Linked DNA regions of Rattus norvegicus. The protein of the gene in region 4 purifies or fractionates together with the protein of the main gene of each other region. This does not show direct contact. Links are inferred from orthologs where the notes say so. Each region holds a gene or a part of one and is shown on either strand. Other genes may lie near its edges.

Region 1 (2,564 bases), on a different chromosome or scaffold from region 4:
ACACATGGCACAGTCACCAGCTCACACATGGCACAGTCACCAGCTCACACATGGCACAGTCACCAGCTCACACATGGCACAGTCACCAGCTCACACATGACTGCTGGGCCATCTCAGCAGTAGAGACTTCCGCCAGGCCTGAGGACGTGAGTTCATCCCCACGTGGTGGAAGGAAACAGTCAACTCCTAGAAGTCGTGCTCCGACCTTCATACACACACGAGGAGGGCAAGGGTAGGTAGGAGCTGGTTCTTCGGTTAAGAGCTCTGGTTCCATCCCAGCCCCCACAGGGTAACTTCCTGCTGTCTGTAACTCTGGTCTTGGGGAGTCTGAAGTCCTTGCCTGTTCAGTACCAGGCACACATGAGGTGTACGTTCATACTTGCAGGCAGAACAGTCATACATATAAAATACTTCTAAATGACTAAATAAATATATCTTAAAGAAAATATAATTTAGAAATTGGGGCTGGAGAGATGGCTAAACAGATAGGAGCATTTGCTGTTGTTCCTGAGAAGCTGGATTTGATTCCCAGCGCCCACATGGTGGCTCACACCCATCTGTAATGGGATCCAATGCCCTCTTCTGGTGTCTGAAGACAGTGACAGTGTACTCATATACATGAAATAAATAAATATTTTGAGAAAGATATAAAACTAAGGACTGAGTATGTCTGTGTCTAAAGCAGTGAGAAAATCATATTTGCTGGAAAAGGCCCACGTCTGTACTGCTTTGGGAAAGATGATTCTCAAAAGACCTCCCTTTCTTTTATATACTGGGGGCTTAATGCAGAATGTCAGGAAGGCACAGAAGACAGAGCAGGCCACAGAGAAGCAGATGTGATTCCTACAGAATTATTAGATCAACACCAGGGTACCAGGTCCTGGCAGTGCGCAGACCAGCTGGCCTGCGTCTGGCAGGTCTTGGTAGATACAGAGATGCTGTATTTGAAACATCCAGTGAGTGAATGGAGCCTGACTCCAGCGACCCTGCAGAATGACTGAGGATGGCAGTCAGACGATCCCCATGCTACACATGGTGCAAGGTGTGTCATTTAATCTGCATAAAACATGCCCTCCCCTGCCTGGTACACAGTTGCTCAGTAAGCTTTTTGGGTTTCGATGATATTGAATTGTTCAACTTATAACAAATACAAAAAAAGACGATGCTGGATACATCAAGAACACTTTAACGTGACAAGTGCCTCCTCTCAGGGGTACCCCATTTAAAACCAGGAAACCAGGCCTGATGTGCTGGTACTCACCTTCAACCCCAGCACTCAGGAGGTAGCAGCAGTGAATCTCAGTGAGTACAAGAGCAGCCTGGTCTACAGAGCAAGACCAGGACTGCCAGGGCTGTCACACAGAGAAACCCTGCCTCAAAAAACCAAAGCGACAACAAAGAGACCCTGATAGTAAAATGCTGGGTGGGTGGGTAGGCGTGCGTGCGTGCGTGCGTGCGTGCGTTCAGGTTCAAGGGATCCTCCTCCTTCAGCATCCTGAGTGCTGGTAAGACAGGCTCCCTGGTTGAGTCTTAACATCTTTGCAGTACTGTGGCCAGCTTTGTGATGGTGTTTCTATTAAATTAGTCCCCCAATAGGACAACATAGAAATGACTATTAGTTGAAAACTTACACATTAAAGACATATCTTAAACTGTAGAAAAAAAGGAAAATTTTGGATTCTACTGAAGATTTCCTCTGGAGAAGCTGCTCTGACCAATAGGAACCTGCAGGGCTCTGGAGAAGCTGCCATCCTCCTGAGGGCTCCGGACGAGGAGGCCACAGCGTGGGCAGCGTGGGCATCTCAGGACCAGAGTGACCATGTCTTTTGTTTGCAGGCGTCCAGCTCAGCGAGTATCTACCAGAGGTGAAGGACCTGCTGCAGGCCGAGCAGCTGGGGAGCCTCAAGTCCAACTCTTACTTCGAGTTTGTTCTAAAAGCAAATTATGAGTATTATGTCCAAGGACAGATGTGACATTTGTAGAAATAGTTTTCTAAAATTTGTATAAATGTTTGCTTATTAAAAAAATATTGAGGCCAAAAAACTTAGGTCTTTTCTTAATCAACTTGAGGTCTGTTTTATCTGCGGCAGTGGGTTTTCCATGCTTTATGTGGGTGCATGATGTAAAAGGAGGTGCAACCCTAATGTCCCTTTTCAGCTGTAAGGTATTGCCTCCTCCTCTTCCACTCGAAGTTGCCCTTGTTTCTGTGTTGCTGCCCTTCTCCAGCTTCCCTTGGTCCACCGAGGCAGCAGTCTCTCCAGCGCGGCCTCGTGTGCACATCAATTACTGTCTTGAGGGTTGTGAGACTGAGCCAGGTTTGGAGCCATATACCTGTCATCCCAGCACTGGACCCTGAGTTCACAGTCAGCCTGGACAGCATAGTAGGGTCTTGTCTTACAGCCCTGGAATAATATACACGCACATAACAGTTGTATGGACTGAGCGGGTTGTGTCTGTATTTGAGTCAACAATTAAAAGAGGCCATGAGTCTGAGAGAGCAGGCCAGCAGGAGTGATGTGAGGTGTGGGAAACATTAGAGATTACCCTCTGCATGTGGTACACTG
Region 2 (4,094 bases), on a different chromosome or scaffold from region 4:
GTGGCACACACCTTTAATTCCAGCATTCTGGAGGCGGAGGCAGAGGCAGGTGGATTTCTGAGGTCAAGGCTAGCCTGGTCTACAGGGGGAGGTCTACAACAGGCGCAGAAAAGCCCTGTTTAGAAAAGGAAAGAAGGAAAGAAGGAAAGAAAGAAGAGTCATGTATGAGAAGAAATGAGTTTTTTTCCTCCAAGATTCCAGAAATTCCCCAGTGTTGAAAAAACAATGTAGACAGCCTTTCTCCAAGACAGGAGACAGCCTGACAGCAGACAGGACACACGCTGCTTTAGCAGGACTGTGTGAGCAGCAGTCTTAGTCCACTTCATGCTCAGCACTGGTCAACACTCCCTACCCAGCTAAATGGCTATGTTTTTGGGGCAGACATCATAAAGGGGAGTACAAGCTAGAGATCTGTGGTACCAGCCTTATGGATGAACATGGGAGTTAAGGATTATTTTTTACAGTCATATGCTATAGTGGCAGAGCCTACCTCTCTGTGGTGCTCTAAGCAATGTGACCTTGGCAAGGCATTTGTTGAGACCTTTCATCTGTAAAATGAAATGGCATATTTACCCCTTGGGTAAATGACAACATGGCAATGTGACTGGGCCCATAAATATAGCTGTTATTATCACGACACTCCCTCTCTTATCTGGCTCCAGCAACTACTTCTTCAGTACATTGACAGGGACTTTTTTTAAAATTTTTACCTTATGTGCAATGGTGTTTTGTCTGCATGTATCTCTGTGTGAGGGTGTCAGATCTCTTGGAACTAAAGTTAGACAGTTGTGAACCATAATGTGGGTGCTGGGAATGGAACCCCGATCCTCTGGAAGAACAGCCAGTGCTCTTAACCACTGAGCCACCTCTGCAGCCTCACAGTGATGGGCACTACCTAAAGAAAACACTGGTGCTTAGAGATACTTTTTAAAGAGTCTTATCAAAGCCAGGCACGATGGCTCACACCCATAGTCTCTGTACTGGAGGCGGAGAGATGAAGTATTTCAGGCTAAGATTCTTTCTCAAAAACAGATGCACAGGGGCTGGGGATTTAGCTCAGTGGTAGAGCGCTTACCTAGGAAGCGCAAGGCCCTGGGTTCGGTCCCCAGCTCCAAAAAAAAAAAAAAAAAAAAAACAGATGCACATATACGCAAACCACAGGCTTGGAGAGACTGGTCAAGCATTTGTAACACCCACGTCAGGTGACTCACAACCATTGGAATTCTAGCTCTGGGGCATCTGGTGCCCTATGGACTCCACGGGCAACTCCTTGAATACGATGGACATAAAATCCATGCAGCACATACACGGAACTCTTTTTAAATCTTACAAACAAACAAAAAGCCAGCATGCTGAAATAATTCAGATATATGTCGAAGTTTAAATACCCAATACTTATTCATATGCCTCAAACCTAAAATACTTACAAAGACTAGTTTAAATAGTTTTACTTTTTAGAAGCTTTAAAGCCAGGAGGTAGTGGTGTAGCCCTTTAATCTCAGCACCTGGGAGGGAGAGGCAGTCGGATCTGTGGGTTCAAAGCTGGCCTGGTCTACAGGGTGAGTTCCAGGACAGCTCTGCTGTCTACACACACACACACACACACACACACACACACACACACCCCAAGTTGGTTCCACACACCCCAAGTTGGTTCCTTCCTTCCCCCTATCTGGTCCATGAGGTTTGATGGAAAGCATCTTTACTTGCTGAACCATCTTGCTGGCCCTTTTTTTTAAAAAGTAATTTTGGTTTTGGATACAATGTTTCCTATAGCCCCAAATAGCCTAAAACTCTGTACAGAGGCAAGGATGGTCTTAACCTAGTGGCTTTGTGTATATTGGGCAAGCATTAGACCAGCTGAGCTGCATCCTCTGCCCTTGTTTTCGGGAGACATGGTCTCACCGTGAGTTCAAGGCCGGCCCCATGGTGAGAAACCCCTGATCCTGTTTCTGCCCCCCAATTGCTGGCATTACAGACATGTCTACCACATCAAGCTAAGTCAATACTGCACAGTCACTCATTAAACCCCATCTTCCCCTCATCTGAAGTCATCCTGAAATCTGCACCAGTAGCATAAATACTCATTTTCTACAATCATTGATGATTTAAAGCAGAAAGCCAACACATGTCTTACTCAGAACCTACCTATTAACTAACACATTACATAAGTTCACTGGTTTACCAGACTATTTTTTTTCATTGTTGAATGCTTTTATATGGGTGTTATTCTGTAGCTCAGAATGGCCTCAAATTTATGGCCATCTTCCTGCTGTCAGGACCTTAAGTGTGAGCCACTATATCTGGTTTCAGATTTATATTTTATTTATTGAGCACTCGTCTGGAAGTTCTGACACTCCTATACTTTTGACCAAAGAATGGTGTGTTGGAAACATCCCCTTTGATTGAGCAGCCCCTTACACACACAGGACAGTGAAGAAAGAGCTGCCCAGACAGAACCCCAAGATTAACCCTGGTGACCACTTGGCTACCAATGTCATAGCTGGATCACCAACGCATGCTATTTTGTCCCTTGAAAGAGGAGGACTGCAAAGTTACAATGTGAGTTTGACTTACATAGCAAAGACTCGCATTTACCTCACTAGTGAACATGGCACAGAAATAATCGCTGCAGGCAGCCAGCACAATCCGGTGGGCAGGGAAGTCTTTCTGCTCCACTCTCAAGGTCACGTCACAGAGGGTATTGCTCTTCCTGAGGGAGTTCATTGAGTTGAGGATGGACTTGGCGTGAGTATTTGTCATTATGTCTTTAGGGGCCATAATGCCGCCCATCAAGCGCTAAGGAGAAAGAACAAAGAAGTCCCTTGGACAGTGCAGCTACAAGGGAAAAAAGGTCACAATGAAGAAGTGGGAAACCAAACACACAATTAGCTTTACAAATTAAGGAACTAAAAGGGCTTCCTTAACCGCAAACTTCCACAAATATAGAGAGAGCACTTTTGACCCTGGCACCACCACAATCTGGCCAACAACGACTCCAGTAAACATTACCTCATTCTTCCTCCAAATTCCACGTTCTATATCTTTGGATTCAACCAAGCAAAGCACAAAATATTAAGAACTAAAGAACTGATTTTGAACATGTATACAGGCGTTTATAATTTTCCCTAGAGAATACTACCTCAGCATTAGCACTGTTGTGATAAAAGCACCTTGGGAGGAAAGGGTCTATTTGCTTACATATCCTGAGTCACAGTCCAGTGAGAGGTGCAGAGGTGGGAACTAATATCCAGGAGGTAGGAGATGATGCAGGGTCAGTGTCAGTGCAGCTTACTGACGTGCTCCTCATGACTTGCTCAATTTCCTTTATTTCTTTCTACTTCCTTTGCTTTGCTTTTTGACTTTTTTTCTTTTTTTTTAGATAGGGTTTCTTTGTGTAGCCCTGGCTATCCTGGAACTCAATGTGTAGATCAGGCTGGCCTGGAACTCAGAGATCTGATTTCCTCTGCCTTCCAAGTGTGGGGATTAAAGTTTGCATCACCACCAATCAGTCAGCTCAGTCTACTTTCTTACAGAGGCCTCTAGCCCAGGAGTGGCAAAGTGAAAGAAGCCCTCCCCGGCCAATCACTGATTCAAAAAATGCCCTACCAGCTTGACTGCTTGCAGCCTGATCTTCTGTAGGCATCATCTTAATTAAGGCTCCCTCCTCTCAGAGGACCACAGCTTGTGTCATGCTGACATAGAACTAGCCAGCACAAATATAGTACAATAAGTTTACTGTTTTAGGCATAAGTAATCCAGAACTTGTCTTGAGGTACATGGGGTGTGCATGAGGTATACGCAAACACCATGCACCTAACTACATGAGTTCAGAGCCAGGTGCAGTGGTATGTTCCCTGCAATCCAAACACTCAGGAGAAAGAGGTAGATTGCTGCAAGCTGGAGCTCACCTTGGTCTACATAACATGTTCCAGGCCAGCCTGGGCTCCATAAAGACACTCTGGTGTCAAACAACAACAACGACAACGAATTAAACCAAAGAAGACCACCACACTCAGATTTTTGCTCTTTCATTTTTTTTTTTCTTTTTTTTCCGGAGCTGGGAACCGAACCCAGGGCCTTGTGGTTGCTAG
Region 3 (3,500 bases), on a different chromosome or scaffold from region 4:
AGTGGTCAGAGGCAACTTTGTTTCACTGTTCTCAGAGGACTACCTTAAACGTTTCACTTGGTTTAGTAACTTTATAACTGTGTTTTAGGAGGTGTAAACTCTTCTAGACTTTAAATTAACATTACAAAACGCATGATTATGTATGTTTCTTACTTTTGGAATTGGCTCTGGATGTGGTAGTGGTGGCTTAAGGAGGTGTCAAGGACTAGGGAGCATCGGGTAGTCTGTCAGACTGGCAATGGGGTTGTTGCTTGTCCCTGACAATGTGGGGTGGGATGTGGAGAGCTGAAGTCTTTGTATTTAAATGATTTGAAATCACATTTAGTCTTTTTATTTTCAGAGTTTTATTGATTGTAGTCAGGAGTGTGAGACTATAGGCCTTATGTTCCTCTTCTGTTTTCTTTTTTAGCACAAATTACAGAAAAGACCTACCCTGCCTCCTTTATAAGCAGCATCTCCTGCAGGAAAGACTCCACCATGCAGCCACCACCTCAGGCAGTCCCGTCTGGTGTGGCTGGCCCACCCCCAGCTGGGAATCCTCGAAGCTCGTTCTGGGCCAACAGCCCTTACAGGAAGCCAGCCAATAATAATGCACCAGTGGCTCCCATAACACGCCCACTGCAGCCAGTAACGGATCCGTTTGCTTTTAACAGACAGACTCTTCAAAACACACCAGTGGGCAGTTCATCCAAAAGCAGCCCACCTAATTTGCCTGGCCCAGCCCTCCCTGTTTTTTCTCAGTGGCCTGGTTTGCCTGTGCCTCCCACAAATGCTGGGGATAGCTCCACAGGACTTCATGAGCCTCTGCCAGGAACTCTGTCACAGCCTAGAGCAGACCCCAGTCTATTTCCTCCTGCATCTACCCCTTCTTCATTGCCTGGGCTGGAGGTGAACAGGAGTGCTGAGGTTGATTCCAGCTCAGGACCTGAAGTCCAGATGCTGCCACATCCACCTCACTACATTCCAGGAGTGGGTCCTGAGCAGCCTCACGGAGGCCATCTGAATGACAGTGGGGCTGGGCCTGACCAATCCATGAATAGGCACGCCCCACATGATGGTGCTGTGGCCCATGCAGCATCTCCTTTCTTCCCTCAGCCCCAGATGCCAGGTCAGTGGGGGCCTGTGCATGGAGGCCCTCCGCCCTCCTATCATCATCACTCACCCTGCCTGGAGGGCCCTGTTCAGGACATGGGGCCCCAGGCTGCCAGCTTGCCCCATTTCCCCTCTCCATCTAGTCTACACGAGGGACCTGGCCATGAGTCCCGTGTCCCACAAACGTTTACTCCAGCATCCTTGGCCAGTGGTGAAGGAAATGAGATAGTCCACCAGCAAAGTAAAAATTACCCATCGAGTAGCTTCCCCCCTAAACACAGTTTTGAGCAGAATTCCAGAGTTGGGAATATGTGGGCAAGCGCGGAGTTCAGGCAGAATCCAGGAGTTAATAAAGAGCATCTGCTAGACCCTGCCCATGTGAATCCCTTCACTCAGGGAAACAGCCCTGAGAACCAGGTGCACCATCCCCCAGTGGCCGCAACTAACCATGCCCTGCAAGAAGCAGCCTCCGGAGCGCTCTCAATGTTTTTTCAAGGGGAGGAGACAGAGAACGAGGAAAATCTCTCATCTGAAAAAGCAGGCCTTGATGACAGATTAGACTCGGGTAGCTTCTCTTCTACCTCCAGACTGGGCCATCCACCACTCCCTGGAGCTGGTGGTGTCTACCAGGCCGCTCAGGAAGGAGATGTGCAACCTTATTTTTCTCAGTTTGTGGGCATCCGTCATGACAAACAGACCACTATGACTCCTGCTAATGATGCGTGGGGTGATATTCCGGGTGCTGGGACCCACTGTGCTAGTGGGCCACAGTGTGAGAATGTAGAGAACCTAGAATTTGTTCAGAATCAAGAAGTTTTGCCACGTGAGACCGTGAATGTGGATCCCTTTTCCCCGAGTGATCAGTTTCGATATGGGCCCCTTCCTGGGCCAGCTGCCTCCAGGCCTGTTACTTCGGGCCTCACTAGAGGAGGAGGGCTAAATCTTGAGGCCCCTGACATGCCACTGCACCCTACACGACCTGACAGTGTGTCATCCAGCTACAGCAACCATAGTCACAGAAGTCCTCCTGGGTCAGCCAGACCCCAAGAATTGGTGGGCACATTCATTCAGCAAGAAGTTGGAAAACTCGAAGATGATACGTCAGGGAGTTTTTTTAAGCAAATTGATTCTTCTCCGGTTGGAGGTGAAACAGATGAGATGACCAGGAGTCAAAATTACTGCAGCAGCCTGTCCCAGCCTTCAACTCCAAGCCCTCCAAAACCTACGGGAGTCTTCCAGACAAGTGCAAATAGTTCTTTTGAGCCAGTAAAATCCCACTTGGTTGGAGTGAAACCAGTTGAAGCAGATCGTGCCAACATGGTGGTTGAAGTGAGAGGGACCCAGAACTGCCAGAAGCACGGGGCCGCTGTTCTACCACCTGATGCCACCCCAGGAAACCTGGAACAGCCACCAGACAACATGGAGACCCTGTGTGCACCTCAGGCCTGCCCTTTGCCTCTTAGCACCACTGGAGAGGCTGGGCAACTGGTTTCACACACAGCAGGGCCACCCTTGGATACTGTGCGCCCCATGCCTGACAAGAGGTCCTCAGCCAGGGCCCAGGGGCCTGTGAAATGTGAGAGCCCAGCCACAACTCTGTGGGCACAAAACGAACTGCCAGATTTTGGGGGCAATGTCCTTCTAGCCCCTGCTGCCCCTGCACTTTATGTTCCTGTAAAACCAAAACCTTCAGAGGTTGTTCATCATCCAGAAAAGGGCATGTCTGGACAGCAGTCATGGAAATCAGGGTCTGTGCCCCCTTTGCAGAACCAAGACCCTCCTGGTGCTTCTGAGAACCTTGAGAACCCTCCCAAGGTAGGAGAAGAGGAGGCCCTTCCATTGCAGGCAAGTTCTGGTTATGCGAGTTTGCTGTCCTCACCACCCACTGAATCTTTACACAATCAACCTGTCCTGATTGCCCAGCCTGATCAAAGCTATAATTTGGCTCAGCCCATTAATTTTTCTGTGTCCTTACCGAATCCTAATGAGAAGAATCAGTGCTGGGGAGATGCTGTGGTGGGGGAGAAATCCATGGTGAGCACCCGGGCTCTTGGTGCTGACCATGAAGAACATGCTGCCTTGTCTGCAATTCCAGCCAGTACTGTCACTGGCTCGTCTTTGCCTAACAGTGTCACCCAGAACTGTGCCCCTCGAGGTTCTGGGTCTTCTGAAATGATTGCTAGCCAGCCTGCCAGTTGGTTGGTTCAACAGCTGTCCCCTCAGATTCCTCAAAGTCAGCACCCCAATGCAGAGAAGGGTCCTTCTGAGTTTGTTAATAGCCCTGCTAATGGAAGTGTGATGCTAGCTCCACCTGCAAACAGTGCTGTGATACCTAACAGTAATAAGGGGTATCACTCTAGAAACCCGGAAGAAGCCATCGGTGCCCTAGACTTCACATTGAGTAGAAC
Region 4 (3,892 bases):
TCTGGTTCTGCAGCAGGTAAGACTAAAGTTTAGGGTGAAGTGGGCTAGAACTCTAATCCTGGCTTTCTCTTTACTAAGTGGCTAAATCCTCTATCTCTTCTGCCAGATTGCTTACCTGAAATACAGCATGAAGTTCTACTAAAACAGCAGGCTTCAGTAGGTGGTGCTGTTTTTGTGACTGCTAGTTCAGGTGAGAGTTCCAAAGACCTCTGCTGGGAGGTGGTACATGGCTCAAGGTCAGTTAGCATCAGAACTTTGGCTTCCCATCATAGTATTGTTAGAATGCCCAGGGCTGGGTTAAATTCCTTGCCTGGCATCTGGTTGGTCACCTGTATACATTTGTTAGCATCTCATTGTTTAGGGCAGAAGTCATCAATCCAAATCCCATGGAGTAGGTATACCCAGAAGGGGGCTATTGCCCATTTGCAGGAGGAGCTGCTGTTATCATACTGGGTGGTGCCTGTAGCACAATTTGGGCAGATTGTGGGATGACAGTAAAGTTTCTATGCAATATGATTTTATTACCTTGGAAACAGCCTGAACCAAAAGATAGTTAAAAATGGCCAAAAATACTTAAAAATAATAGTCATTTGTTCCTTACATGAATACTTTCAGATGGACATTAAATTACTGAACACATGGAATCCCAGTAAGGCAGGTGAACACCCAGTGCTGCATGTGTGGGCACTCCTTGGTAGCAGTGGGATGACTCTTCCCAGTTGTTTGGAGGTTGTTCCAGAATAGGTAACAGGAAGACCAGGCTGCCTGTGTTGTCATTGCTCATTCTGTTGGCCCTCTGTGATGGAGGCTGACACAGAACCCTGGCCCTTGTTGACATCACTGATGCACACCCACTGTCCATCCACCGACTCTTTCCACAGGGTCACCTGCAAGTTAGCACACAAAAGTTACGGGTCGGGGCTGGGGATTTAGCTCAGTGGTAGAGCGCTTACCTAGGAAGCGCAAGGCCCTGGGTTTGGTCCCCAGCTCCGAAAAAAAAGAACCAAAAAAAAAAAAAAAAAGTTACGGGTCTGTGCCTGTTCTGCTGCTCTTTAGCCTCATCCTCAGTACAAACACAGAGGCCAAGGGAAAAAGCATTTACCTCCACTACACTTGCTCAAAATGCACCCACAGGGAATGCATTAACTAGAGTTGACAGTGAGAGAGGAAGTATGTGGCTGAGAGCAGGCCAGGTTAGGCCATCTTTGTCACCAAGTGTTAAAAGCACAAATTAGATAGGACACAACTATTAGATGCAGGACCATTGCAGAGCAAACAGCTAAAAAGGTCTGTCCCTGCCTGTGGCTCCTCAGAAGGACATATGCCTTGTGCAGCTCACCTGTACCTGTTAACAGAAGTCGGATCCTTACTTCATACATAGGGTGAGAAATGGCCTGAGAAGGCAGGCTGTTCAAGAATGCAAACTTAAATTATCAGGTCCTGACTCTGGTACAAAGAAATAAAGGAGGATAACTATCTTTTGAGGTCGGGCCTGCAAGTCTGTCCTGGAATTACTGCAGAGCAGGAAAGGCTACCTGCAGAGGGTGAGAAGAAATGTTTGTACTCATCTCTTAGCAATGGACAATGTTGCTTACATGTTAGCTTAAAAAAGGGAAGCCATAATGGTAAATGAGATAAGCCAGCCAGAAAGTAAGAGTGGGTAAGTGAAGGAAGCTAGTTAATAGGCACCGAGTTTGTTTTACAAGCTTAAGAGTTCTGAAGATCAGTTGCACGGTGTCAACACATAATACTTAAAGTCTAATTTACCAGTATGAGAAAATATGGAGGTGTTCCTTAGTCTCCTTTTTCTGCCCTTTGTTGGTCTTTCCAGTGGCCACTTGGCTCATAGCAGAAGCAGGAGGTGGAGACATAGAAGGTGGTAAAAGTTCCTGGAACTCTCCTGATGCTTAGGAAAGAGCCCCAGGCTCTCCTTGCAGGTCAGGCTATACTGCAGCTATGCAACCAAGTTCTTTTCTGTGTCAAACAGGACACAGTACCTCAGAGGGTTGAAGAGACTGAGATATGATTCAGATCTACCTCTATGATGGAACCAGTTACTGTACATGGCCAGGAGGTGAAAAACCATTAGGGCCTTATATGCTTGCCCCCCTGGAAATGGGGTATACCTTATTGTCTCCACCTGACACAGCCAGGATATTTGCTGTGATGGACCAGCTCACGTGCCACACGACATCATTGAACTTGTGTAGGAGTTTAGGTGACCACATATTGCCTGAGGCGTCATCACAAGTCCAAATAAACACTCGCCCATCCTAGGGAAAGAAACACATCAGGAGATGGGGGTACAAGCATTCTCCCCAGGGGGCAGGTATCTGTATTGGCAGAGAAGGAGAGCAGCCACACTAAAGAGTCTGTTTCAGATCCTTTCACCCTGAACACATCTTACAAATAGGCCGGGTCTGGATTCTGTGGTTTCAGAGATGAATCCAGGGTACTGCTATAGATACTCTGTTTTTCTTCCTGGCTGTCTAGTGTTTCTCACATGAACACGGTTAACCATCTTACAAACCATACTCAGAGATGGAGCAAACAAGAATGTCCAATAAAATCACTAATGGACCTGAAGACCTTGCCTCTTATTTGTCATTCCTGTGATGACAGGAAATAAGGGAAGGGTTGACCCAAGGCACTAAGTCTGGGCACCTCCATTCCTCTCCTTCGTAAGGGTCAGGAAGAACCAAAACTTGGCTCTAAGCTTGGCACTAGTTCTTAAGCTACATCAGACTCATGTACACTGGTCCTACACGGTCCTTCTGTTCTTTGCCCAGGTCTAAAAGATGCCTGCTACGTATCTTTCACTCTAGGCAGACTGAAAGGAACTCACTCAAGGCTGAAACGGGATGTTCTCATGGTGTGGGGCTGACCTGAGAGCAGCTGGCAATGGTGCTGGTGGGCAAGCCAATGGAGGGGGCCCAGGCAACGTCTCGAACCCAGTCACTGTGTGCCTCTAGCTTTTGCTCCTCCTTCCACTGGCCATCCTCCTCTTCCCTGCAGAGGAAACCAGAGCAGGAATACAGTGGCTAGCAGGCAGATATTCCCAACTTGGGTAAAGGGTTCAGTTTTCGAGTTTCATCAATGAGTCCAATGGGTAGAATTCTAAGCTGCACGTAAGGTCTCCAGTAAATGCCCTTTCATCCATAGCTCCAAAGTTTGGGGAATACTAAAATGCTTAGAAAAAGAAGTCCTAACAGACTTGAAAACAGATGGTTATTGATAGGGAGAAAGAAAGGTGATCTTGCTTCTTGTACACTGTAGCTGAGCGATGACAGGCAGAAAAGAAGTGTCCCTTTGAAGAAATGTCCACAAAACTCACTGACCTCCACAACTTGATGAGATTGTCACAGCCACCTGATGCAAACTTCTTGATGTAATTGGGTTTCTGTCCGGATGGTTGGTCTATAAGGCTTCCAGGCACAACAGCTGGGGCCCAACTGACAGCATTACAGCCAATCTGCAGAGGGGAACCTTTGGTGAGGCTATGCATAGCAATAAATTTTTTTTCCCCATTCATTCCTGGTGATTTCCCTCCAGTTGTCAGGACTTTGATTACAGCACACAGATAATGTGATGAGTAAGAATCAGGCACTGATGTAATACTAGCATGGAAGGCAGGATAAGGGGACATGGGACAGTTAGATTCCTTAAGGCCACTGGCCAACCAACCTAGCCAAATCCATGTACTCCAGATTCAGTAAGAGATCCCATCTCAAAATGTGAAGAGCAACAAGGGAAAGACATTGCCAACCTTGGGCATATATATACACCTATGCACACCCATACTACTAACAAGTACACACAACACATACACAGTAGGGGTTAGCCTTAAAGGCAAATTATTAGACCAACAGACTACTCAGTAAAAAATCTTAAG
Region 5 (4,008 bases), on a different chromosome or scaffold from region 4:
CTTCTTTGGTCGTGTTATTTATATTCTTTTTACTTTGGTGGGTGGTGGTGTTCAAGGAACACACACAAATGAAGTAGGACTCCACAGCGAAGAGTTGATATACCAAGCCACCGAGTCTTCTAACAGCATTTCCCCAACCTACAACTACATCCTGGGAAGGCACCCTGGAGACCAGGAATCCTCTCCAAGGCGCTCCGCCACTCAGGAGGATAAGGGTGCCTCTCACCACGACTCCATTAGAGCTCCAGCACCCACCACTCACTGAGCTTTCCTGGATTTCCCGGACAGTTCTTCCTCAAGTCTTTGCAGGCCAACGAAGATTCCATGGGATTCGTTGAAGAGTTTTCTCAAAATTTGAGAGTAAACATCGACATCTTTCCTTATGATATAAATAAAGGGGCAGCTCGGGACCTTCTCTGATTTGTCTGCAACAAAACAGGAAAAAGGAAACAAAAACTAATTTAACATCTATCATTTTCCCCCAAAGAGAAAACACTGCAGTATTTCTAATTTTTTAGTCACAAAAACTGGCTGAGCATGGGGGGCACATGTCTACACACTCAGCAAGAGGAAGAATGAGACAGGAGGATTAAAATGAAAGAGAAGACTAGTGCATGCAATAGACCAAGCAAGCCAGGTCTATGATAAAAGAGAAGAAGAGGGGTGCTGGAGAGATGAGTCAGTGGTTAAGAGCACTGACAGCTCTTCCAGAGATCCTGAGTTCAATTCCCAGCAACCACATGGTGGCTCACAACCATCTGTAATGGGATCTGATGCCCTCTTCTGGTGTGTCTGAAGACAGCTACACTGTACTTATATATAATAAATAAATAAATAAATAAATAAATAAATAAATAAGAAGAGGAAGAGGAAGAGGAGGAAGAGGAATAAGAAGGAGGAGGAAGGGGAGGAGGAAGAAGAGGAATAAGAAGGAGGAGGAAGAGGAAGAGGAGAGTTTTTCAAGTGGAGAGCTGAGATGGGGTCCTAGTCTAAGCAATCCTTCTCCCTAAGCCTCCTGGGCATGCCCATGCTGCCCATGCCATCACTGAGCGACAGCCTACGTCCTTGGTTTTTTGAGAATGGGTTCGGCATCGTATCTCAGGCAGCCGGGAACACTCTATCCTCCGTCAACTATTCTGCACAGTAAAAATTCTACGACTGCAAGCATTGCCTGAACCCAAGAGTTTGCCTTCAGCTGGGGCAGGCAACACAGTCCGACTCATTTCTTTTTGTTGTTTGTTTGGTTGGTTGGTTTTGGTTTTTCAAGACAAGGTTTCTCTGAGTAACCCTGGCTGATCTAGAATTCATTCTGTCGATCAGGCAGGCCTTGAACTCACAGATCCACCTGCTTCTGTCTGCGGAGTACTGGGATGAAAGGTGTGCGAGTGTGCGTCACCACAGCTGAGCTATATGGCTCGTGTCTAAAGGTCCATTATAGGAAGGGTGCTGAAGAGATGGTTTGGTGACTAAGACCACTGGCTGAAATTTCATATTTTTATTCCTAACACTCAGGAAGAAAGGGCAAATAATTTCTGAGCTCAAAACCAGTGTGGTCTAGAGCCAGTTCCAGGACAGCCAGACCATCTCAAGAAACCAAAGACGACCAAACAAGACGTACACAGGCAGCTCTTCCAGCCAAGCTCTTCCAAGCTCGCATATGGCAACTCACATAAATATACAGTTCTAGTTCCTAGAGTCCAGGGATCTCTTTTGGCCTCTGCAGGCACCAAGCACGAAGTGGTGCATCAATAGGCATGCAAACAAAACTCCCATGCACAGACGACAGAATTAAAAAAAAAAAAACAAAAAAAAAACAAAAAAAACTTTGTGTTGTGTGACACACCTCAAATCCCAGCCCTCTGGACATCGAGGTTGGAAGACGTAGTTTCCGAATCCCACATATGTTGCACAAAGACAAGCCCACTAGGACTATATAGGGGTAACTTGTCTCAAAATAACAAAAAACAGTTTCAAACATAAAAAAATGTTGCCAAATGACTTCAGTTTCCTGCCCCTGATAGTCAACAAATGTACCAAGACAAAAGTGAACAAGAACTACCTACCTGTTTTGTTGAAGGAAGTTTCACATAGGAGCATCTCCCCTGGGCCCCAGTCAAAACACATTTGCTTCTTCTTGGAATTCACACCTGGAATCCACTAGTAAAACAGAAGGCATAGGAACTGTTAGCCCTAGTTAGGGCTTTCTTTTCATTCAACTTCCAAGTGTGATTGCGGACACCATAGTTCAGGCAGGCAGCCTAGATGGTATCCAACGGTTCTGTGCACATATCCAGACATATACACACACCTTAAAATATTTCTATGTAAGCGGAATAGAATACAAAGCGACAGAAACAAGTGGTCTATAGTCTCTCGTGAGAATAAATTACGCACTTATTAAGCTTTGAGCCAGAGGAAGAAGCCAACTGAGCTCTTGGAGCGACGATGTGGAGCTTACACCAAGCTCATTCTAACGCCCAAGGAGAGAAACTAGAGAAGCAGAAAGGTTAGAGAAACAAGGGATGATGCAGTGGGGCCTCCGCGGCCCGGCCAGTATTCACAGGACCCGAAGCCTAGGGACCACCACCGCCCTAACCTAGTTCCCAGTTGATCTGACATTCTGGATGGTGGCAACTGTGTCCAGAGAAAAAGCATGCGTCCCACATGTACGGAGGCAAGCCTGAAGTGACCAAAGAAACGTAACCCTCACAGTGAGACAAGCAAGCCTCTCCGGGCGTCCTTACAGTTACTGCGGGCTCGCAGTCGAGCTCCTCCATAGTGCGGTGCGCCCGCAGCAGGGACCCCTCCGCGTTGCTGCTGTTCTCAGCTCAGGCCTCCCGCTCACAGCCAGCTGCCAAAGAGGACCCCATCAGGGCGGCTTCCGAAGCGCCTGCACATCTCAACGCAACAAATCCCTTCGCCTCAGCCAAACACAGGCCTCTGCAGCTTTACACACGTCTCCTACTATTCTAACCTAGACAACACCTCAGGAAAACGTCGCCAGGGGCCACCGGTCCTCACGGAATGTTCCCACTAGATCAGGCGGCGCCATGGACAGTCCCACACTAGGCAAGAGGAAGGCCCCGGGAGATGGCGGGAGAGGAGGTGGCTGGGAGGGTGTGCGCGTGCGCAGATCCTTGCTGTCGCATCTCTTGGGATTGCAGAGCTACTCCGCCTCAGTAATCCTATTTTAGCTCTTAGCGGTAGTTGGGATCCCTCCCTCAGGGTCTGTTATTAAGTATTCTCAGTCCCTTTCTCTTACTCCGACAAGTATAACGCGCTTACTTTGGAATTGGTCGCGGGCATTGACACCCCAAAACAACAGGACTTCAACCTTTTATGTACTGGCCACTTTTCTTTCCTTAGGATTATTCTAAACCTCCTCTACCTTAAATTGTTGGGCATACATGACTTGAAAGAAGGGCACGGTGGCTTAAACCGGCAGTTGCAGCACTTGGGAAGTAGAGACAGAAATTCGGAGTTCAGAACCAGCTTTAGCTATGTAGCAAGGTTGAGCTCACTTGATGTGAGGCTAAGTGAAACCCAGCCTCAGAAAACAAACTCCCACCAGGCATTAAGGAAATAAAGAAAAATCTTTCTGTCAAATTTTTATCCAAGTCCTAATCACTGAAATCAATGATTTGGGGAGCTGGACTGATGGCTCAGTGGTTAAGCACATATGCTGTTCTTCCCGGGTAACTGGATCAATTCAAAGCACTCACATACACATGGAAAAATCCCAGGCATTCTGATGCCCTCTTCTGGCCTCTGTGGATGTGAGGCGCACATGTAGTTCACAGACATGCAGATATGCATGCAGCCAGTATACATACAATAATTTTTAAAAGACTGAATTTACTGTACAGTTAAACAAAATCTACCACATATGATCAGAGCTAAATAAACAATTAATTAAAAAAAAAAGTAAAGAGGTAGAGAGATGGCTCAGTGGTTAGGAACACTGACTGCTCTTCCAGAGGTCCTGAGTTCAATTGCCAGCAACCACAT
Region 6 (3,500 bases), on a different chromosome or scaffold from region 4:
AGCTCCCCTGGGGCCCTTCAATGACTGTGCGCCCCTTCAGAGTGACGTCGACATTTTCTGGAATGTCAACAGTCTGATTGCTGGGAATGGTCTTCATTCTCACAATACATGGGGCAAAGAACAAAAAATCTTTTTTCCATAGAAGGTGTTCAGTGGGCTCTATGCCAGTTGATGGTCCAGCATGCACTATAAAATTGTAGCATCATACATGACAACCTATGTATGCAAGCGCTCCAGCAAGATGTGAAGAGCACTGTACTACAGGTAAAGCTACTGCCCAAGTGCACACACTGGACACTTCAGCTTTTAGACCCTCAAAACAATAGAACAGTTATAAAGACAAAGTATTTTCTATGAAAATGCTCAAGAAGCAAGCTATTTCAGAGCACAACTTGTTAATCACATGGAAAGCTCACATGGTTGCTGACATCCTAGAAAACACTAACATGTAAAACTGCAGTCAGTAAAATGCTATGGCAAAATGCAACCCAGGAAATAGAAGCACTTCTATTTTAGAGCACAGTAGGAGAGCGAAGGAGTCAGCGTGCTGGCTGGATAGAGCCTTGAGTACAATTCCCAACACAAGAAAGGGTTTTTTTTCATCTTTATTAAATTGGGTATTTCTTATTTACATTTCAAATGTTATTCCCTTTCCCAGTTTCCATGCCAACATCCCCCTAACCCCTCCCCTCCCCTTCTATATGGGTGTTCCCCTCCCCATCCTCCCCCCATTACCACCCTCCCCCCAAGAATCCCGTTCACTGGGGGTCCAGCCTTGGCAGGACCAAGGGCTTCCCCTTCCACTGGTACCCTTACTAAGGAAAAGGTTTTTTAAAGTTAAATTTAAAACAAAGTACTGGGGCTAGAGAGATGCCTCAGTGGTTAGGAACACTAGCTGTTCTTCTAGAATTCAATTCCCAGCAACATCACATGGTGGCTCACAACCATATATAAAGGGATCTGATGCCCTCTTCTGGCATGTATGTGTACATGCAGATAAAGCACACACGTTAAAAAAAAAAAAAAAAACCGTAAATAAACTTAAAAACTAAACAAGCAGAGCACTGAATCAAAGCACTGGGTACATGCCACCTGACGTTAAGAGGTCTGTGCAATAAACTGGAAATAGCTTCTTTGCTGGGTGGGAAGTTGAGATTGTGTCAGTCTTCTATTGATAGTGGTAATAGTTAAGAAAACTTTTTGGCTACAAGAGATTCTCCTGTTATTTTGAAGTAGCTCTGGTGAGATAAATATTTATCCCCATCTAGAATCAAACAACCCATGGAGGAGCTGTGCCAGCATTTGTATTGACAGTGTCCCATTACTGATGGGCTATATAAGTTAAAGCTCACTTAATACCACAACTCTGATTCTTTTACAAAGACGTGTTGGGGAAAGGGAGTGCTCTTACAAGGGAAGAATCTAGACAGTACTACAAAAGTAGCTAACTTTAAACAGGTTCACTCGTGTCACCTGACAGGCAGGGTAAAGGCACCTCTCTAGAGTTTAGTAGCTTAACAGAGAATTCTCAACAAGGTATTTAAGTTGAAGAGTAAATGAAAACATACAGGACGGAGTTTACAAAGAAAAAATGAAGTGTTAAGAGCTGCTTAAGCCTTGAGTCCCAAGACATGGGAGTAAATTTAAGACCAGCCTAGGCTATGCTGTTATATTCCACTGAAATTAAAACAGAAAATAAAAGCCTGAGTAAAGACTAAACACATGCCAAGCAGTAATAGCAAGTTCCAGATGAGCCAAGGCTACATACAAAGACCCTGTCTCAAAACAAAAAAACTCATGGAATCAACAATATAGACTTAATTTCCACACTAACTTCATCCAAGCCAACATAGTAAATTGCATATTTACCATTCATTTTAAGGAAGGGCTTTCTAATACATCGGAAGTGAGTGGAGGCTGCTATTCATTGCTAGTCCAGTACTCGGAATGAGGTCTTCTACAGCTCTCCCCACCCACTGTGAGTTCTGTAACAGACAAGCTGAGGAAAGCACAATGTCAGCTCTTACCAGTCGAATGAGCTGTCTATCCAACCACCTAAGCACGTCTGGCCCTTCCTCTGTCTCCGCTCTGTATATTGCCAACCTAGCCATGAGAATGGCAGCTGCTTCCTGGTCAAAAGATGCAGCAATGTTCTGGATCTGAGTTTGAGCATCTGCCCAGCTAAATAAGGAAGCACAGAAACAAAATTGAATTATATCATAATACCACAGTTAGCTTCCACACACAGCTACACTTAGAGACTATAGAACGTCACCTCAGTACTTCAAGATTCTAATACCACACGCATTAATTAGCATTACCAAAATACCACAAATAGTTGTTTATTACAATGATTTTCCTAAAAACAAAACCAAACCTTAAAACATTTTCTAAAATAACTCTAAAAGTACATATTATTTAAGATAAGTCATTTTTTATTAATCATTCCATTCATTTACAACTCAAATGATAACCCACTTCCCAGTTAACCCTCCACCAAACCCCCATCCCACGTCTGCCCTCTCCCTCCCCTTTGCCTGTTTGAGAGTGCTCTCCCACCCACACTCTCCTGTGTGGCTTGGTTGGAAGAAGTGTATCAATAGGGGTGGCTGCTGTAAGTCAAACCAGTGGCTTTCACTTCCTGTTGCCTGTGGATCTGGATCTAGAACTCTCAGTCACTTCCCCAGCACCATGTCTGCCTGTGTGCTGCCATGTTCCCTGCCATGCTGACAGTGGACTACACCTCTGAACTGTAGTAAGCCCCAATTAAATGGTCATGGTGTCTCTTCACAGCAATAAAACAATGACTAAGCCCCTTACTCTATTTTTAATTTTCTTTCACTCAACAATTTTAAAATGCTTCCAGATAGTAAGAGTAAAATATCTTCGTCTGGGGGCTAGAGAGATGGCTCAGTGGTTAAGAGCACTGATTGCTCTTCCAGAGGTCCTGAGTTCAATTCCCAGCAACCACATGGTGGCTCACAACCATCTGTAATGGGATCCAATGCCCTCTTTTCGTGTGTCTTACGACAGCTACAGTGTACTCATATATAATAAATATATAAATAATAAATAAATAAATCTTTTTTTAAAAAAAAGATATCTTAGTCTGGTAAAATATTGTTTTTTGAAGACAGGATTTCTCACTGACTATTTTACAAAACAAGCTAGGTTTAAAAGACATAAAACGCCCTTGATCACAAATGTTTATTTTCTAGTCATAAATGTAAACCCAGCTTGTGAGTATAACCAAAATAGTTTTAATATATAAATTACATCTCTGATAATAATAAAAGAAAAGGCTTACTTCCTAGCAATCGTGGTCACTCGGATGCGTCTCTGCCCACTTGAGTGCTGATACTGGGTCACGAACTGGACTGCACCTCGCCCTCCTTGGGGAATTGGAGCATTATGCTGCATGTATAGAAAGAAAGAAGTAAGAACTAAGCAAACTCTACTATGGTGATGTCACTGTATCAAAAGTAACATACTCTACCACT
Region 7 (2,352 bases), on a different chromosome or scaffold from region 4:
AAGCAAACTCCAAACCATTCAATACCTTAAATACTAGAAGTGAGATTTCTGACGCCACTCCCCCCTTCTTCCACCTCGTCACTGCTACCTCACACTTCTAGATGTCTGCACCTTTAAATCAGCAAAATTAGACGAACCTTCTCAGAAAGAAGGCACTTTACACAGTAGATAAAGATATTCTTTGGATATTAGGGATTAATGCTGTATCCAGCAGAATTGGAGAAATCTTGTCCATTATAAATCATATTGTATGACATGCTTTCATAAGTCTAAGAAACAACTTTCATACTGTAATTTTTTTAATTGGCATTTACTTTATAAATTTTTGAATTTGGTTACATATTTCACATCTTGATAACAATTTATTAAACATTTAAAATTATGGGAAACTTTTTTTTAATTATTGGAATCTTATAAAAAGGAAATAGAGAGGAACTAATAATAGCTACTCTCTCCTAATTTAAGAGTTCAGTATTTACTAGGTGCTTGTCCAAGTCTATAGGTACCTCTGACACTCACTGCTTCATTTCCTATGCGTCTGCCTCTGTGTGTGATATGTGTGTGTGTGTGTATATATATATATATGTATGTATATACACATACATGTGTGTGATATGTGTGTGTATATATACATGTGTGTGATATATGTCTTTATGACATGTAATCTCTGCTTCTTTCTCAAACTTGGCTAACGAGACACATGCGGGCTTTTCTTCTTCCGTCCTGTATTACAGCTAATGGTCGCAGAGAAGAACGGAACAATCCGGTTTTATGATCTAATGGCCCAGCAGGCAATTTTATCTCTTCAGTCAGAACAGACACCATTAATGTCAGCACACTGGTGCTTGAAAAACACCTTCAAAGTTGGTGCTGTTGCAGGAAATGATTGGATTATCTGGGATATCACTCGGTCCAGGTAGTTATGTAGTATGTCTGTCTGTTCTGTTACATAAATATGTTGTCAAATGACCCATTTAGCCATTCTTGTAGACTCCATGTGCAATGAAAACAAGTGTCTCCTGTAGAAAAAGAAGAGATGCTGTCCCTGGAGAGCCCAGAGCGGCTCTAAGCCGTGTCCATTGCTCGCTATTTCCAATTGAGCGCTTGCTTGGAATTTTGTTACAGCTTAAATATATTGGGCTCCAAAAAGAAAACACCTTAAAAACCTTCATTGAAGTTCATCTACTTGAATCTAACACATATTTTGTACAACGTAAACTCTTATTTTTTAGTTATCCTCAAGAGACAAGACCTGTCCACATGGATCGCGCACACTCGTTTAGGTAATGTGCGGTTTCTGCTGCGGTTGTGTGAATCCTTGATTTAGTGTATTCCACGGCCAGGATGACTTCCCTGCCCTCCTCTTTACATAGGACTGTGGGGGATTGGTTTTCCTCTTTTGTCTCTCTGTTGCTTTATAGGGGTTATTTTCTTTTCCCTACTAAGTAGTTGCTTTGTCTTTTGCTTTAGGTAAGCAGGAAATTTATTTTTCAACCACTTAGGAAATGTTTGTAATTCACAGAAACCATGTAGCCAGTCTACCAGTCTACCTCAAGGTCAGGATGGCTTGTGCTGCCTGCCTCCTCCCCTGTGGTGCTCTGTACAAGTGCGCATAGACCTATGTGTGCACACCAAGATCACTAATATGTCTTGAACATGCCAGTTACATGTTATTTTGTTATGTTTTCGTTTTTTATTTGCATTAACATATTTTGGTTTTTGTCATTTTATTCCATTGTATTATCATTAGGCAGCCTTAAATGACAGGAAAAGCAAAAAAAGCTAAGAACAGTGAGACATTTGTAATTTGCTGGTTTTTTTGTTTTATTTTTAAATCATGTCTGAAATATCGCTAGTAAAAATTACCAGGACTTCGTTATTATTAAGAATGAAATATAATCAGTATAGTATTAAAATCCCATAGATTGGGACTACAGAGATGGCTCAGTGGTTAAAGGCCCTGGTTGTTCTTCTAGATGACCCAGGTTCAATTTCCACCACTTGCATGGCAGCTCATGCCTGTCTGTAACTCCAGTTTCAGGGCTTCTAACCCCCTCACACAGACACACATGCAGGCCAAACACCAGTGAATATGAAATAAATTATATATTTATATATTTCCATAGATTATTATGAAATAATCCAAAGTTCAGAGATATGATCAAATATTTTTGAAACCAGTGACTTATGTATGGTTTGTGAGAACTGCAGAGGAGGCCTTCTCATCTCAGCATGTGTTAGCAGCTCTTCTCCTTAAAGCCTCGGCTGAGTGGGGAGACCTGACTTCAAAGCTCCTACCCTGCCCCGCCCTGGGGAGTGCAGACCGGTAGACCCTGGGAGCTCACTGACCTG

Evidence for each region.
Region 1: the proteins of Sec13 (region 4) and Nup133 purify together in Homo sapiens (affinity purification with mass spectrometry; 4 studies listed by BioGRID and IntAct, counting the BioPlex papers as one, with this or other methods). This does not show direct contact. The link is inferred for Rattus norvegicus from reciprocal best matches to the Homo sapiens genes SEC13 and NUP133.
Region 2: the proteins of Sec13 (region 4) and Klhl12 purify together in Homo sapiens (affinity purification with mass spectrometry; 3 studies listed by BioGRID and IntAct, with this or other methods). This does not show direct contact. The link is inferred for Rattus norvegicus from reciprocal best matches to the Homo sapiens genes SEC13 and KLHL12.
Region 3: the proteins of Sec13 (region 4) and Sec16a purify together in Homo sapiens (co-immunoprecipitation; 4 studies listed by BioGRID and IntAct, counting the BioPlex papers as one, with this or other methods). This does not show direct contact. The link is inferred for Rattus norvegicus from reciprocal best matches to the Homo sapiens genes SEC13 and SEC16A.
Region 5: the proteins of Sec13 (region 4) and Nup85 purify together in Homo sapiens (affinity purification with mass spectrometry; 5 studies listed by BioGRID and IntAct, counting the BioPlex papers as one, with this or other methods). This does not show direct contact. The link is inferred for Rattus norvegicus from reciprocal best matches to the Homo sapiens genes SEC13 and NUP85.
Region 6: the proteins of Sec13 (region 4) and Sec23a fractionate together in Homo sapiens (co-fractionation; 3 studies listed by BioGRID and IntAct, with this or other methods). This does not show direct contact. The link is inferred for Rattus norvegicus from reciprocal best matches to the Homo sapiens genes SEC13 and SEC23A.
Region 7: the proteins of Sec13 (region 4) and Nup37 purify together in Homo sapiens (affinity purification with mass spectrometry; 5 studies listed by BioGRID and IntAct, counting the BioPlex papers as one, with this or other methods). This does not show direct contact. The link is inferred for Rattus norvegicus from reciprocal best matches to the Homo sapiens genes SEC13 and NUP37.

The regions. Positions count from the first base shown.
Region 1 is NC_086037.1:68,788,565-68,791,128, reverse strand, and holds the end of Nup133 (nuclear pore complex protein Nup133), read left to right. Parts: intron 1-1,836; coding exon 1,837-1,973; 3' UTR 1,974-2,064; downstream 2,065-2,564. UniProt on the Homo sapiens protein: Involved in poly(A)+ RNA transport. Involved in nephrogenesis.
Region 2 is NC_086031.1:48,453,971-48,458,064, reverse strand, and holds the start of Klhl12 (kelch-like protein 12), read right to left. Parts: upstream 2,801-4,094; 5' UTR 2,800-2,800; coding exon of another isoform or gene 2,794-2,799; coding exon 2,599-2,793; coding exon of another isoform or gene 2,578-2,598; intron 549-2,577; exon of another isoform or gene 491-548; intron 1-490. UniProt on the Homo sapiens protein: Substrate-specific adapter of a BCR (BTB-CUL3-RBX1) E3 ubiquitin ligase complex that acts as a negative regulator of Wnt signaling pathway and ER-Golgi transport.
Region 3 is NC_086021.1:29,655,820-29,659,319, reverse strand, and holds part of Sec16a (protein transport protein Sec16A), read left to right. Parts: intron 1-409; 5' UTR 410-477; coding exon 478-3,500. UniProt on the Homo sapiens protein: Acts as a molecular scaffold that plays a key role in the organization of the endoplasmic reticulum exit sites (ERES), also known as transitional endoplasmic reticulum (tER).
Region 4 is NC_086022.1:148,432,844-148,436,735, forward strand, and holds the end of Sec13 (protein SEC13 homolog), read right to left. Parts: intron 3,473-3,892; coding exon 3,339-3,472; intron 3,010-3,338; coding exon 2,886-3,009; intron 2,274-2,885; coding exon 2,127-2,273; intron 888-2,126; coding exon 774-887; 3' UTR 501-773; downstream 1-500. UniProt on the Homo sapiens protein: Functions as a component of the nuclear pore complex (NPC) and the COPII coat. At the endoplasmic reticulum, SEC13 is involved in the biogenesis of COPII-coated vesicles.
Region 5 is NC_086028.1:101,304,227-101,308,234, reverse strand, and holds the start of Nup85 (nuclear pore complex protein Nup85), read right to left. Parts: upstream 2,801-4,008; 5' UTR 2,778-2,800; coding exon 2,745-2,777; intron 2,158-2,744; coding exon 2,064-2,157; intron 426-2,063; coding exon 263-425; intron 1-262. UniProt on the Homo sapiens protein: Essential component of the nuclear pore complex (NPC) that seems to be required for NPC assembly and maintenance. As part of the NPC Nup107-160 subcomplex plays a role in RNA export and in tethering NUP96/Nup98 and NUP153 to the nucleus.
Region 6 is NC_086024.1:82,409,905-82,413,404, forward strand, and holds part of Sec23a (protein transport protein Sec23A), read right to left. Parts: intron 3,415-3,500; coding exon 3,308-3,414; intron 2,182-3,307; coding exon 2,028-2,181; intron 1-2,027.
Region 7 is NC_086025.1:24,485,232-24,487,583, forward strand, and holds part of Nup37 (nucleoporin Nup37), read left to right. Parts: intron 1-734; coding exon 735-916; intron 917-1,232; coding exon 1,233-1,283; intron 1,284-2,352. UniProt on the Homo sapiens protein: Component of the Nup107-160 subcomplex of the nuclear pore complex (NPC). The Nup107-160 subcomplex is required for the assembly of a functional NPC.